2 linked regions of the Tamandua tetradactyla genome follow. The protein of the gene in region 1 purifies or fractionates together with the protein of each later gene. This does not show direct contact. Links are inferred from orthologs where the notes say so. Each region holds a gene or a part of one and is shown in the gene's direction. Other genes may lie near its edges.

Region 1 (7,314 bases):
TTCCATTTTTTCCCCTTTCTTATCTTTTGTCTGTAAAATTGTGGATGTCTTATCCTCTAGTTCACTGATAATTGCTTCTGCTTCTTTACATCTGCTATTGTTTGCCTCCAGTGTATTTTTTACCTCTTCTATTGTGCCTTTCATTCCCATATGTACTGGGATTTTTTGCTTGCTTGTTTTGTGGGTTTTTTTTTTTTTTTTTGCATGTTTTCAAATTCTTTTTATCCTCACCTAGCATTGTCTTTATATCCTTTATCTCTTTTGCCATATTTTTCTCCATCTCCTTGAATTGATATAGGAGATTTGTTTGAATGTCATTAATTAGTTGTTTCAATTCCTGTATCTCATCTGAAGTTTTAGTTTGTTCTTTTGACTGGGCCATATTTTCCTGTTTCATAGTATGGTTTGTAATTTTTTGCTGGTGCTTAGGCAACTGATTCACTTGATGAGTATATTCTGAAGATCAGTTTCTCTCTCTCCTGCCAAGGATTTTCTTGTTGTCTTTGTGCTATAGCTCTTCTTTGATACTGGTTCAACTTGTTATAGACCTTTAGAATAGTTTGTGTTTGATCAGATTTTTTCAGCTCTTATTCATCTGATTCTTACTCTGGATATATGGTATAATTTTTGAGATTGTAATATTTGTGCAACTGTTTCACTCCCGGGAGAAAGCTTCCTTTCCCTTGTTCTCCTCTGGGAATGTTGATCTATTCTGTTTTTGTTGTTGTTTGCATGGGCAGGCACCAGGCATCAAACCCGGGTCTCCAGCATGGCAGGCAAGAACTCTCCTATTGAGCCATTGTGGCCTGCCCTCTGTTTGTTTTTTATTTGCCTCATATGTTTTTTTATTTGCCTTTATATGTTTTTAACACTGTTTTCATTATTTCTAGTTGCTTTTACCAGGAGGGCTTTTTCTGGGAGGAGGGTCCCTGTCCGTTTTTCTCTGTCAAAACAGGCCCAGGACCCACAGAAGTGGTGTAGATAGTTCCAAAGTACTCTGGGGGTGTGCGGGGAAGACCCAGAAGGATGTCAGTCTACTCTATATCTTTCTGATATGTACTTCCCTGGTGTGCCCAGCAGCTGGCACTCTTCAGCCACCTGTTCCCCATAGTCCTAAAATGGTACTGTGCCTTTAATTCTCAGCCGATTGCCTCTGCTGGGGGTGTGGTTGAAACAGAAGTTGCCAGCCTCTTTGGGCTTTGGCCAGGGAGGGTTGGAAACTGTTGCCCAGATCCCAGGCCCTGGAAGCTGAAGTCTCTTACTGCTGCTAACTGCCCTGGCCCTTGCCCACTTCTCCCCTTTTCTTGGGGAAGAGCTGCCCTTTAGAAACCTGTCCCCAACTGACCAGAGAAGCTACTGTGTCTCAACCAGTCCCACTTCCTCCCCTGCTTGGAGTGGGGTTGAAATGGAGGCTGCCAGTTGATTTCTGCCCTGGGCAGGTTAAAACTGTAGCTGTTATTAATTCAGCATCAGTGAGTAAAAGATGGGAAGAGAAGAAGATGAGAAGCAGTTTTACTACTTTGGAGAATGCTGTATTAGTCAAGGAAAGAGATACTGAAATCTTGGATGAAGAAGGGAGCATGGTAAGAGTATTGTGGAGAAGGAAAAGGCTCAGTTGACACCTCCTAAGCAGAATCCTAATGTTGGCACACTTACAAGGAGAAATGACAAGGTGTTGGACCTGCCATTAAAACACTTGTAATCTAGGTGGGGAGTTTAAAACAAACTGACTGTAAGGCACAGTAGACTAGAGGCTATAATCAAGTATGAGCCAAGTTGTTTGAGAGCACTTTTGCTTGATTCCAGGAGGTACAAAAAGAGGGATACTGGAATAGATGAGGATGGTTCAGAAAAATAGTAATTTTATTTTTCCTGGTAGGCTCATGAAGGCTTCATGACAACAGTAAGGCCCCTGAACTTTTCTGGCCCACCCCTCAAGTCCCTGACACTGTCTCTGCACCTGATGGGAGTGACAGATTGGATGAGAAGGAGGGTGCAAGTAAAGTAACTCTGGACCTGTTCTGTCCAGTATAGTAGCCACAAGTCAGATATGGCAATTGAGCACTTGAACTGTGACTAGTCTAAATTGAGATGTATATAGGTGTAAAATACACAATGAATTATGAAGACTTAGTACCAAAAAGAAAAGAATAATTTTTAAATTGATCACATATTAAAACAATAATATTTTAGACATATTGAAGTAAATATATTTTTGATATTAAAAAAACAAACAAACCTGTAGCTGTATTTTCTCAGGAGCTAGAATTCACTTTGAATTCACTAATCAAAAGCTGGAGTCAGTGCCTGTTCCCCGCTCCCCCCACCCCTTTCTGTTCTGGGTAAGAATTGAGTGTTCTGAATTCACTAATCAAAAGCTGCAGACATTGCCTGGCCCTGTCCTTCCCTCCCTCTCGCATTCATGGGATAGAGGGCTTCTATTTCCAGCCAGGGAGTGGCTCCCTAAGGTAGCCCTTTGTGCCAGTGGTGGGTAGATCCCAGCCTCTGCAACATAGAGAGATCTACTCACAGCTTTTTACCACAGTTTATCAGTCTCTTCCTTCTGCTCTTTGCTGGATAGTGTACGGTGTTCTTCGGGTCTCCAGAGCCCCGCAAGCAGTTGTTTCAGTCAGTTCCTGGCTATTTGCTAGCTTCCCTGGAGGGTGAACTGAATCCTGACCTCCCTATTCTGCCATCATCCCTTAGGGCACTCTTATCCCTTTCATTTTAGTTAACTGGCAAAGGGTCTTAGCATTTTAACTGAGAATCTTTTGATGATTTTTCTACTTGAGAATTCCTGGTGAAAAATTAAAGAAGGGGCCAGCTGAAAAAGCCATTTCCCCCTGGGAGGAGGCAGGTTTTTTCATACTTATACTCTTGAAGGAAGATATCTCCCAGATGTTGGGAGATATCAGTTTATATCCTTAATCTGTCCTCCCAGTACTATTAAATAACCTTAATGCATCATGATGAGCTATAAAACTTCCTAAATATAGCATATGCCCAAGAGTTAGCCTGCCAGATTTAAAGTCTTAGCTCATTCTCTGTGCCAGGGCAGTGGCAATAATGTTTCATCAGAAAGTCTTCCTTTGCAAAGAGGACAGCCAGCTCAGCTTTAGCAGCAGGACAAGAATCATAATTTGAAAAGGTTGATAACTTTATGATGTTTAAGGGACCATCTTCTCCTTTGAAGACTGTCATGTCATTAGCTAGAAAATGAATGCTGGTTCCACTAACTCTGTGTTTAGCTTTTGGGGGCTCTTCTAGGTAGATGCTTTCAGTTGATTACTTGGTAACTTTTTTTTTTTTTGAACTTTTAAAAAATTATTTTTAGGGCGGGCCACTGTGGCTCAGCAGGCAAGAACGCTTGCCTGCCATGCCAGAGGACCCGGGTTCGATTCCCGGTGCCTGCCCATGTAAAAAATATATATATATTTTTTTATTGAAATATATTCATGCACATAGAGTCCATCACTTGGAAACTTTCTGAAATATAGACCAGGTACATTAGACTTCGGTTTGAAAAATCCTGGAGCCAGCAGCTAAGCTGTCCAGGGTGCTTTAAGCACACATTTGTGCACTTGAAGGTGTTATGACATTGTTCACATCCCACACACAGGATAGCTGGCTATATGTAGTATGCCTATTTCTGTGAAATTGGGCATAATTTAAAAATTTTATGAATCTCAAAATTTTAAACATACCAGTGATTATAGCCCTGCAGTTATCCAGTTAGTGTGTGACCTGAGCCTGTTTCTTCATCTATCAGTTAGCACCCAAACCTGTTTTGTATAATTATGACTGGTCCTCCATTCTAAAAACTTAGAAAATGCATGATATCGTTACATATTTATTTCCTAGAAATAGAGATATAACTTGAGGGACCTGTTCACTTTGAGAGAGTTCATTGACTGAAGAAAAAAATCAGTCTGAGGCAGTTAGATGTAGTAAAGGTTATTTATTATGTTATTGTGTGTTTTCTTGACCCAGCTCCAGTAGGTAAGAAAGTGATTGATGGAAAAAGCCCCTTTGTCTGCTGGGTCCCTGAGAGCAAGCCAGCCTTCCTTTGGTTGCTGATTGTAGATGTGCTTGTGTTCCTTTCTCCTTCCAATCTGATCTCCCCTGTCTGACTTCTCCAGTGAAGTCATAAACAAATATTTGTGATAGTTTCTTGTTACCATGGTAACTAAAGAAACACAGTAGCTGGTTTCCCCTTCAAGCTTCACTGTCAGTGCTGCTTGAAGGAGGGACAACCCTTGGGGGAAAGCCAAGGCTCAGAGTCATGAAAAATCATTTATCAGGTAATGGGGAACAGCAGTCCACAGTGCTTCTTTTAGAAATCTGCCCTGTACCTGTGAGCCTTCAGGCCCAGGGATAATCAGGGACCCCAAAGGCAGGCTATTGCCATCTCCTAGAACTTTCTGCAGTAAGTAAAAATGTGACACTTGCACATTCTAAGAGCCTACTGCTGCTACTGAGTCCCTAGAATGCTTTCCAGAAAGCCCAGAGGAACCTTCCCTGAAGTTTGATCTGTTCTCTATCCCTGACTCCAGGGTTAAGCTCTCCATCTCAACCTCCATTTTCATTTTTCTTAAATCAAATTCTCTCATAGATTACTTACCCCTGCCCCATTTATGTGCATTCATTCTTGTTCTATTCTTTCTGCCCTTGCTTCCCACCTCCACGTTGAACTCCTGCTTGAAAACTCAGTCCACATTTTATCTTTGGAAGATTTTCTTTTAAACTCTGTCATCACAATTACCACTAACTCTCCAGAAAAAGGGCACAGAGTAAGTTTCTCTTTCTGTGTTCCTATAAAACTTTTACATCCCTTTTGCAATAAATTTAGTTATTGTTTAAGGTTAGAAATGTAGAGGATAAGAGTTGTTAATAAGGGAAAAGCCAAGTTTGTAAGGCTTCAGTCCCATCTACGCACACTTCCAACACAAAAGCCACTTTACTTTACATTTTAAAATTAATATTGGGATTCCAAGTCATATTTAATTGGAGGTACGTTGCAAAAATGTTGAAATCACTGTAAGTTGCAAAGCCAAAATTATACCTAAATCCATCAGACTCGGAAGTTCTGTTTCCTCTGTGGCCTGCCTCTCAAAATATAAGGCTTTTCAGATCTCAGATCCAGTGATTAGAAGGAGTGAAGGTGGACTGGGTGAGGATAGTTATTGGGTAGAGAAGAGACGAAGGTGAAGAGAGCTGTTTGAGCAGTGCCACAAACAAAATCTTTATAATAGACCAAGGCCATAGGTCACACAAGCAGAGAATAAAAGCAGGTCTTACAGGCCTGAGAGCTTCCCTTATTATTATTTGATGAAATGTGGTAGAGCCAGGCCTGAATGCATTAAGCAGGTGGAAGGCTGATAGACTTCACTTAAGCTTCTCTGGAGGCTGCACTATATATCCAGCCACACTTCTTCCCAACTTTTAATCCCCTTTCAGTCTGCCCATGATACTCAACCTTGGGAGCCTTTAAGAATCATCTTTAGCAAAATGCAAATCAAACCCACAGTGAGATACCATTTCATATCCACTAGAATGGCCATTATTAAATAACAAAAAAAAAAACAAAACAGAAAATAGGTGTTAGTGAAGATGCAGAGAAATAGGAACACTTGTGCTTTACTGGCAGAATTATTGAATGGTGCAGCACTCTTTCAAATCCTCAGGAAGTTGAGCATAGAATTATCATATAACCCAGTAATCCCATTTCTAGGTATATATCCCAAAATGTTTGAAGCAAGGACTCAAACAGTTATTTGTACACCAGTATTCATAGCAACATTATTCACCATAGAGAAAAGATGGAATCTTTGCAAGTGTCCATTAACAGATGAATGGATAAACAAAATGTGGTATATACATACAACGGAATATTATTCAGCCATAAAAGGAATGAAGTTCAGGTAAATGCGACAATATGTATAAACCTTGAAAACATGTTAAGTAAAATAAGCTAGACACAAAGATAAATATTACATGATTCCTCCTATGAAATATCTAGAATAAGCAAATTCATAGGGACAAAGTAGATGAAAGGTTACTAGGGACTTGGGGGGGATGGGGAGTTATAGCTTAATAAGCACAGAGTTTCTGTTTTAGGTGATGGATGTTGGTGATAGTCACAGAACACTGTAAATGTAATGCCACTGAATCATGCCCTTAAAAATGGTAAAAATGGCAAATTTATGGCATTTCATTTATAACAATAAAAATAGAAAATTAAAAAAAAATTTCTAGAGGTCATGAGGAGGGTATCTTTCTGACCTTGTGACTGAAAGGATTTATTAAACAGAACCTGCATACATACATACATAGTTATATATCTATAATATATGTATCTATAATATATCTTAACTAAAAGAAAAGATATATTAACCTTAAAATTAAGAACTTTTTTGCTAAAGGACGCCATAAAAAAAGTGAAAAGACAAGCCATAGAGTGTTAGAAGATCCTGTAACACAAATAACCAACAAATGATTAATAAGTAGAATACTAAAGGACTATAAAGTGATGAGAAAGGGACCGCCTATTCAGAAAAAAAATATTCAGAATATAGAAACAGGCATTTTTTTCACAGAAAGTAAAACATACATGGCCAATAAACATGAAATTTAACCTCATTAGCAATCTGGGAAAATCAGTATCTCAGTGAAATCCTTATTACAGCCGGTAGGTTGACTAAAGTCTGATAATTCCAAGTATTGGTCAGAATATGTATCAGTGGAAATGATGTATTGCTAAGCTAGTGTAAATGGGTAACAGTGGAAGGCAACTTGAAACTATCTGGTCAAGTTCACCATTTACCAACCCAGCACTTCATTCTTATATTTGTACCTTAGAGCAGTGCTTTTCAAAGTGTGATCTGCAGACTGTTGTAGACTACAGTCCAGGTTTCTATTTTCCCTGTGTTGATATTTGCACACATTCATCAACCCTCATCACTCACTCTTTAAAAAAACAAACACAGGTTCACTTAAGAATGTCCTTGATGAAACAGTACAGAGTCAACCCTTGAAAGTATGTCTGGAGGAAAATCACTTGTGGGATTAAATTGTACACTAAATTACAGAGTTTTGTCATGAATGAATGTAAGTCATTTTACATTGCATTACATTTTCTCAAAAGTATATGAAGTGTCAGTTATCAATAACATTTGAGCTTTCAAGTGAAAATTATAATTTAGAAACTCTTTCTATCTACCACTAAGTGCTCAACAGCTTCCTACTAGGTTTGTAATAGGAAAAAACGGGGCGGGGGGGAAGAGACCAAAACAAAAAGGGATAAATTATAATATA
Region 2 (6,918 bases), on another chromosome or scaffold:
GCATTTTTTGTACATGTTATTTTTCAAAAAAAAAAGTCGATTTTTTTTATAGGATGCCTTCTAGGCTATGTTCTGGAGCAGATAAAAGAAAAAAATCGTATGGTAGCCATGACAAACTCTGGGATCTGTCCTGTAACTACTTGTTGAAGAGTGCTTTGAAAACCATAAAAATAAAAAACAATTGCTTTTTATTTCTTTGTTTTGTATATATTATATTAAACAATTAAAAAGGGGGGGCACTACAACTCAACAAAATGGCAAACTACCCAATTCTAAAGATGGGCAAAAAACTTTAAATAGAAATTTTTCCAAAGAGGAAAAGCACATGAAAATGATACTCAACAACACCAGCGATTAGGAAAATGCAAATCAAAACCACAATGAGCTATCATTTCACACCTACTAAAATGGTCACTATTAATAAAATAGAAAAATACAAGTGTTGGAAAGGATGTGGACAAATAGGGAGACTCATTCGGTGCTGGTGAGAATGTAAAATGGTGCAGTTGCTGTGTAAGACAGTTTGGCGTTTCCTCAGGAAGTCAAGTATAGAACTGCTTTATGATCTGGCAACCCCGATACTAGGCATATAACCAGAAGAACTGAAAGGAGGGGCTTGGACAGACATTTTCACACTGATATTCTTAGTGGGATTATTCACAATTGCCCAAAGATGGAAATAGCCTAGGACCCATCAACCAATGAATGGTAAACAATATGTGGCATATGCATATGATAGATTATTATTACACTATAAGAAAGAATGAAGTCCTGATGCATGTGACAACATGGACGAACCTAGTGGCCATGATGCTGAGTGAAATAAACCAGACACAAAAGGACAATAGTTTATGATCTCACTAATACAAACTAATCATAAAAAGCAAACTCAGAGTTAGAATCTAGAATACAGGTTACCAGGGGATAGAATAGGTAGAGAATGGGAAGCAGATGGTTAATTTGCACAGAATTTCTAATTGGGTTGATTGTAAATGTTTGGAAATGGATAGAGGTGATGGCAACACATTATTTTAGTGTAATTAACCACAATGAATTATGTACATGTATGTGGGAAGGAAAACTATGTGGTAGGATGTAGAAGCCAAGAGTTTAAAGCAAGACCTACAGAATTTGTTGCAAGCTGCTGGCCTCAGGATGGTGGCGGTAAACTGTGGAGATTGTTATGTAGAGCAGTCTGCGAGGAAGAGAACGTTTACCCCAAACAGTTATGTTAAGTATAAAGAACACTGTAAGATAAGAATCTTGCTCCCTCAGGAAATGCCTGCATATCTATTGACATCCTGTGGTATATAACAAGGATCTGGTTAAGAATAAAATTGTCTGAAGTTTGTCTGAAGTAAACTCAAGCTTCAGACCCCGAGCCCGTCTGTGTCTTTCTTTCTTCCTTTCTTTTTTTTCTCATCATTCCTTAATATCTTCCGAGCTCCGTTTCAATAGGAAGCAACAATAGGATATGGCACAGTAAACTCCTTTATGGATGATGAAGGTGGTTAATCGTACAAACATAAGAATGTTCTTCAATGAACTAAAACAACTATACATCACTATTATAAGGTGTTAATAATAGGGTAGTATATGGGGAAAAATACACCTAAGGCAAAGTATGGAGTATCGTTAACAGTAACTATTTTAATATTCTTTCAAGAACTGTAACAAAGGTACCACATCATTGCTAAGTGTCAACAGAGGGGTATATGCGAATACTGATTTTTACATGACTTTTATGCAAACCCATAATTTCTCTAATTAAAAAATATATATATACTAAGTGAAAGAAACCACACAGAAAGTACTCCATATGGTATGATTCCATTTGTATACAGTGTAAATATACATAAATCTATAGAGACAGAAATAGATTAGTAGTTATGTAGGGCTGGGAAACGACAGAAAGGTTGAATAGGGACTGATAACAGGTATAATGTTTTTCTTTTCTGAATAATGGGAATGTTCTAAAACTGACCACGGTGGTGAATGAACAACTCTGTTACTGCACACTTCGGATAAATTGTATGGTATGTAAACATAGCTCACTAAAATGGCTTTCTTAGAAAAGGGCCACATTCTCGAGTCAAAGTGACCCGAACATGAAAGGTCAATAACCCTAGAAAAGTTAATGATCACAATCCAAAAGCGACTAGACTGCAAAGTACAGGCTGCGAACACTGTTTCCAAAGCGAATTCCCTACTTTTTTTCTTTGCATGGGCAGGCACCGGGAATCGAACCCAAGCCTACTCCATTCACCTGGTCAAGAAGACAAGCTGGTAAAAGACATTTTTCAAAGCTGCTTTTAAAAGGGATCAGTCGAAGAATTCGGGATAAACGATCAGTCTGGTTGCGTTTTCACACCGTGAAGGTGGGGAGGTATGGAGACACAACCACGTTAACCTTCCCATACACGAACCATCGTCATCCACGGTCCGTTCTGACCGGGTGGAGAGCCGTGAGCAAGGGCGCTGTCGGTGGAGACTTCCAACAGAGGACAGGTCCTCATGCCCGGTGGAAACAGGGGAGGACCTACAAACGCGGAGGAAGCGGCCCCTGCCGCGCCCCCGAGCAGCACGGCTAGGTGTGGCCTGCCCTTTCTCCCTCCCACACGTGGTCCTGGCTTCCCAGCACCGCGAAAGGCAGCGACCCGCTGTTCCTGGAGGAAAGGAACTTCTGGTCTATTTTTAAAACGATTGCTAGAGCTTCAGGCTGCTCCCCTTCGTGGAGGGAGAGAAGAGCAAAGCGTGTAGGGTGTCAGGTCAGGGGGCAAAGCAGTCCCAAGGACACTGGCCTGCAAAGCAGGGCTCGGGGTGACCTCTCGGGCGGCACCGGTGATCCGGACCACCGGGCCCGCGGAGAGACGGCCAGGCCGTTGGCGGACTCCCCGTCGCCCCTCCCGTCCCCGCGCAGAGGCCATGGCGCCCTCGGGACCCTCCCGCCGCCCCTCGGAGGCTGGGCCCGCCCGGCTACCTCAGCGGACCTGGGACCGCGCTCCCCGCCACGCAGGCCGGACGACGGCTCCTGGGCGCACAGGCGCGTCGCTCGGCGGGTTCTGCCTCCCGCCTCCTGCCGGGACCTGGCCCCGTCGGCCGGGAACTATAGCCCGCGGGCCTCAGCGCACGCTCGCCCTCCACCGCCCGCCCACAGGCCGCGCCCACCCACTCGGCGCAGCGACCGCCCTGTGCCCCGGGCGGCACCTCGGGACACGTAGTCCAGGGGCGAGGGCCGCGCCACGGCCGGCTCTCCGTGGGCGCGTCGACGAGCACCACGGGACGGGTAGTTCACGCGCGCGGCACCACGGGACACGTAGTCCAGGGGCGAGGGCCGCGCCACGGCCGGCTCTCCGTGGGAGCGTCGACGAGCACCACGGGACGGTAGTTCGCGCGCGCGGCACCACGGGACATGCAGTCCAGGGGCGAGGGCCGCGCCACGGCCGGCTCTCCGTGGGCGCGTCGACGAGCACCACGGGACGGTAGTTCGCGCGCGCGGCACCACGGGACATGCAATCCAGGGGCGAGGGCCGCGCCACGGCCGGCGCTCTGTGGGAACGTCGACGAGCACCACGGGACGGGTAGTTCACGCGCGCGGCACCACGGGACACGTAGTCCAGGGGCGAGGGCCGCGCCACGGCCGGCTCTCCGTGGGAGCGTCGACGAGCACCACGGGACGGTAGTTCGCGCGCGCGGCACCACGGGACATGCAGTCCAGGGGCGAGGGCCGCGCCACGGCCGGTGCTCTGTGGGAACGTCGACGAGCACCACGGGACGGGTAGTTCACGCGCGCGGCACCACGGGAAGCCCGTCCCGTCCCCGCGGCGTCCCACCCTGAGCCAGGGCGCGCCGCGCAGCACCTCGGGATATGTAGTTCGAGGCCCAGAGCGGCGCTGCGTTCCAGTCGTCGCCCGGAGCGGCTCCCCGGAAGTGACGTAACAAGGCAGTCACGGCGTAGGTTCCCGGTTTCCGCAAACAGAATCGTGGATGGTTGTGTTGGTGAGTGTAGCGGTAGGAGCCGCGTCCCTGCTTTTCCCTTTGTCTTGAGCCTCTCCGCGGCCGGCGAGTAGGTAGAAGGGGCACCTCGACTCCGGCCTGGGCTCGCTTTGCTCTAGCCCTGGGCCGTAAGTACCTGACTCGAGGGTTCATCGTGCCCTTAGCCCAACGCAAAATGGATGCTAGTTGTGGCGACCGATGGCGCAGATGGGACTGAAGACCGAGGGAGCGCGGGTGGTAGAAGTCCCGAGAGCTGCGTGCACTTGCATACCCAGGGCCGCCCTGAGGGGTGGGCCGGGAGGGGCTCCGGGGTGCAAATAGGGGGCTGTCTCTCTTGAGCGGCGGTTGAGAAATTTGAGCAGAAGATTAAGCAAGAGAGGCCTACGGCCGCGCAGGTGACGGGAAAGGTGAACTTGGCCGAAGAATCCCCTCCTCTCCTTTATTGCACCTTTTGGGCCCCGGAGCTGGCCGGGTCCAGCGGGCTGCTCCCTGGACGTTAGACCCTACCCTGTCTGAGCGTAAGCCTTGCGACCCCAGCGCCCTCAGTCGGTCTCGGTGAAACTGAAATGACGGACCAGGATTGCCTGGGAGCTGAGTGGGAAGTCAAATCCAAATGCCCGTTAGGTCATTTACTGCACATCCATCTCCACTGTCAGTAGACTCTCTTTTAATCTAAGCCCTGAGGATTCTGAGGGACAGCGCTTTTCCATTTGAATTTTGGTCATTATTGCACTTTGACTCTCAATTTTAAACATTCATACCCATTTCTGCAATCGTTTGGAACGGTATCTCATTTATTCTGACGGAATTGGTTATGTTTTTTGTGACATCTTATCTGTAGAAAAAGTGGCCTATGTACATAAAATTGGCGCACATTTAAATTGCAACACTTACTTTAGGAACTTCCGCTAAAGAAATGCATCAGACTTCTTTACTTGAATTTAAAAACAACTTTAATATATTCTTTTTAGGAAATACTACTGTGGCAGAGGAAGAGACTATAGGGATTTGATAATTTGATGACCACTTTAACCAGGTAATCATCTTAAATAATTACCCTGCAGATTGCCGAGTGATTTTTTTTTCCCTTCTCAATCAGTTCTCCCTATTTTGCCACCTGTTGGTATTTTGTTACTTCACACAAGTGGGTAGTGAAAGCCAATTTCCCTTGAGACCCTTTCCTAAAGTCAGATTTCTTTAAACTGTTATCATTCTTTTTTCTTTTCTCAAAAGGAGTCTTTTTTTTGTTCCCAGCTTCATATCTTTTAGGTTCTGTGCATTTAATCTTGAGTTTGCTGAATCTTGGTGCTCTTTTTGACTTTCGCTCTTGCTTTACTTGGTTTGAATAATACAGTCTAACATCTTAGTAGTGGGGAAAAGGGTACAACTTCTTAAAAACACAATTCACATAGTACCTCATTGAACCTCTCTCTAGTAGGAGTTCAGTAAGTTTGTTGAATGAATGAAAAAATGAATCACCCTAACAATTCCTGTCTAGTAGATAGATCTGTTATTTCCCTCCCCCTTGCGTTTTACACATAGGAGAAAGAGTTAAGAGACCTAACTTGCCGTTCAACTAATAAGCTCCAGAGCTGGTTCTTGAAACTTCCAAGTCCAAAGTCATTTTTTCTCTTTTCATTTTCTACCTATTTTAGACACTCATTACAAAATAAGGCTTTCAGAAGTCCTGGCTATAGGTTCCCAAACCTTTTCTGATTGGGGTACCCTTACTGTATGTATTTTCTCAGTGCCCCTAGGCCAAAAGAAATACCTAGCAGTTCTTTTTATTAAGTAGTTAATGCCAAAGAATTTATTAAGTATTTATGTCTTAATTTTCAAAAGAATGTCCTATTTAATTATTAAATAACCACAAATACTTACTTGTGGAATATGTGCATTTGATAGGTCCTATACAACTTCTCAGAGTTTGAAATCAGGTCAGACACTTCCACCTTCATTTTCTGTTTAACCTTGGTTCTCTTGTGGTATCGCTTAAGTCTGAGCTTCACAAAGTTTTAACATTGTCAGAGGCTACATATTGCAGTCTGCACTGTTGAAACTGATGCACCTGAAGCTAGTAGTTTCTATGATATCTGCCAGATGTCAAATATCACTGGGTTTCCCTTGAAATTTTTAAGATATCCTGCCATTCCCCTGGGACTTTGTTGGGGTGCCCTAGGGGTACCTCAGCACCAGCTTAGGGTGCTATACAGTAATGACTCACTCAACTTAAGAATCAGAATAGAAATTAACTTTCTTACTGTTATACCCCTACATCATTTGTCAGTTTTGATGCTGATAGAGACTTTTATGGATAAGACTGTAGAAATGTTTGGGTAATTATAATCCTTACTACCATACATATTCAGATATTCATGTGTAATATAAATCAGTTTACCTTTTGATTTTCCTAAAACTTCTAATTGATCACTGAAGTTAAATGGCTAACTTCTTTTTAAAATTACTTGAAAGTGTCCACGTTGGTGTTTATAAACAGTATCCAGTTTTCTCATTTCAGTGTTGGTTTATGAAATTTTATCATCAATTCAAGAAACCAACTATGGAAAACTCTACAAAAGTAGAGGACGGTAAAGAGATCTCTTTGGAAGAGTCAAAGGCATCCGTAAATTCTGAAACAGAAACTTCATTCGTTAATAATGAAAACACTACAGCTTCTGGCACTGGGCCTACCGAAAATGCTCATTCCTCTGACAAAATAGACACACCGAAAAAGAGAAGGATGGATTTTGAAGATGATCTTATAAAGGGAAGTTCAAGTTGTGGGGAAGACATTCCAGCCAAGCAAAGAAAACTTGATCCTGAAATAGTCCTAGAGGAGAAAGGTTCTGGTGATGACGAAGGTATTACAAAAAAAAGAAAAATAGAAGCTGATGATGTTCCAAAAGATGAAACATCTACTGA

What was found.
Region 2: the proteins of KPNA6 (region 1) and RNMT purify together in Homo sapiens (co-immunoprecipitation; 3 studies listed by BioGRID and IntAct, counting the BioPlex papers as one, with this or other methods). This does not show direct contact. The link is inferred for Tamandua tetradactyla from reciprocal best matches to the Homo sapiens genes KPNA6 and RNMT.

Annotation. Positions count from the first base shown.
Region 1 is NC_135328.1:193,718,158-193,725,471, reverse strand, and holds the start of KPNA6 (importin subunit alpha-7), read left to right. Parts: upstream 1-4,207; 5' UTR 4,208-4,282; coding exon of another isoform or gene 4,283-4,301; intron 4,302-4,710; exon of another isoform or gene 4,711-4,790; intron 4,791-7,314. UniProt on the Homo sapiens protein: Functions in nuclear protein import as an adapter protein for nuclear receptor KPNB1. Binds specifically and directly to substrates containing either a simple or bipartite NLS motif.
Region 2 is NC_135344.1:77,650,324-77,657,241, forward strand, and holds the start of RNMT (mRNA cap guanine-N(7) methyltransferase), read left to right. Parts: upstream 1-3,873; 5' UTR 3,874-3,999; intron 4,000-4,010; exon of another isoform or gene 4,011-4,124; intron 4,125-4,967; 5' UTR 4,968-5,032; intron 5,033-6,500; 5' UTR 6,501-6,523; coding exon 6,524-6,918. UniProt on the Homo sapiens protein: Catalytic subunit of the mRNA-capping methyltransferase RNMT:RAMAC complex that methylates the N7 position of the added guanosine to the 5'-cap structure of mRNAs. Binds RNA containing 5'-terminal GpppC.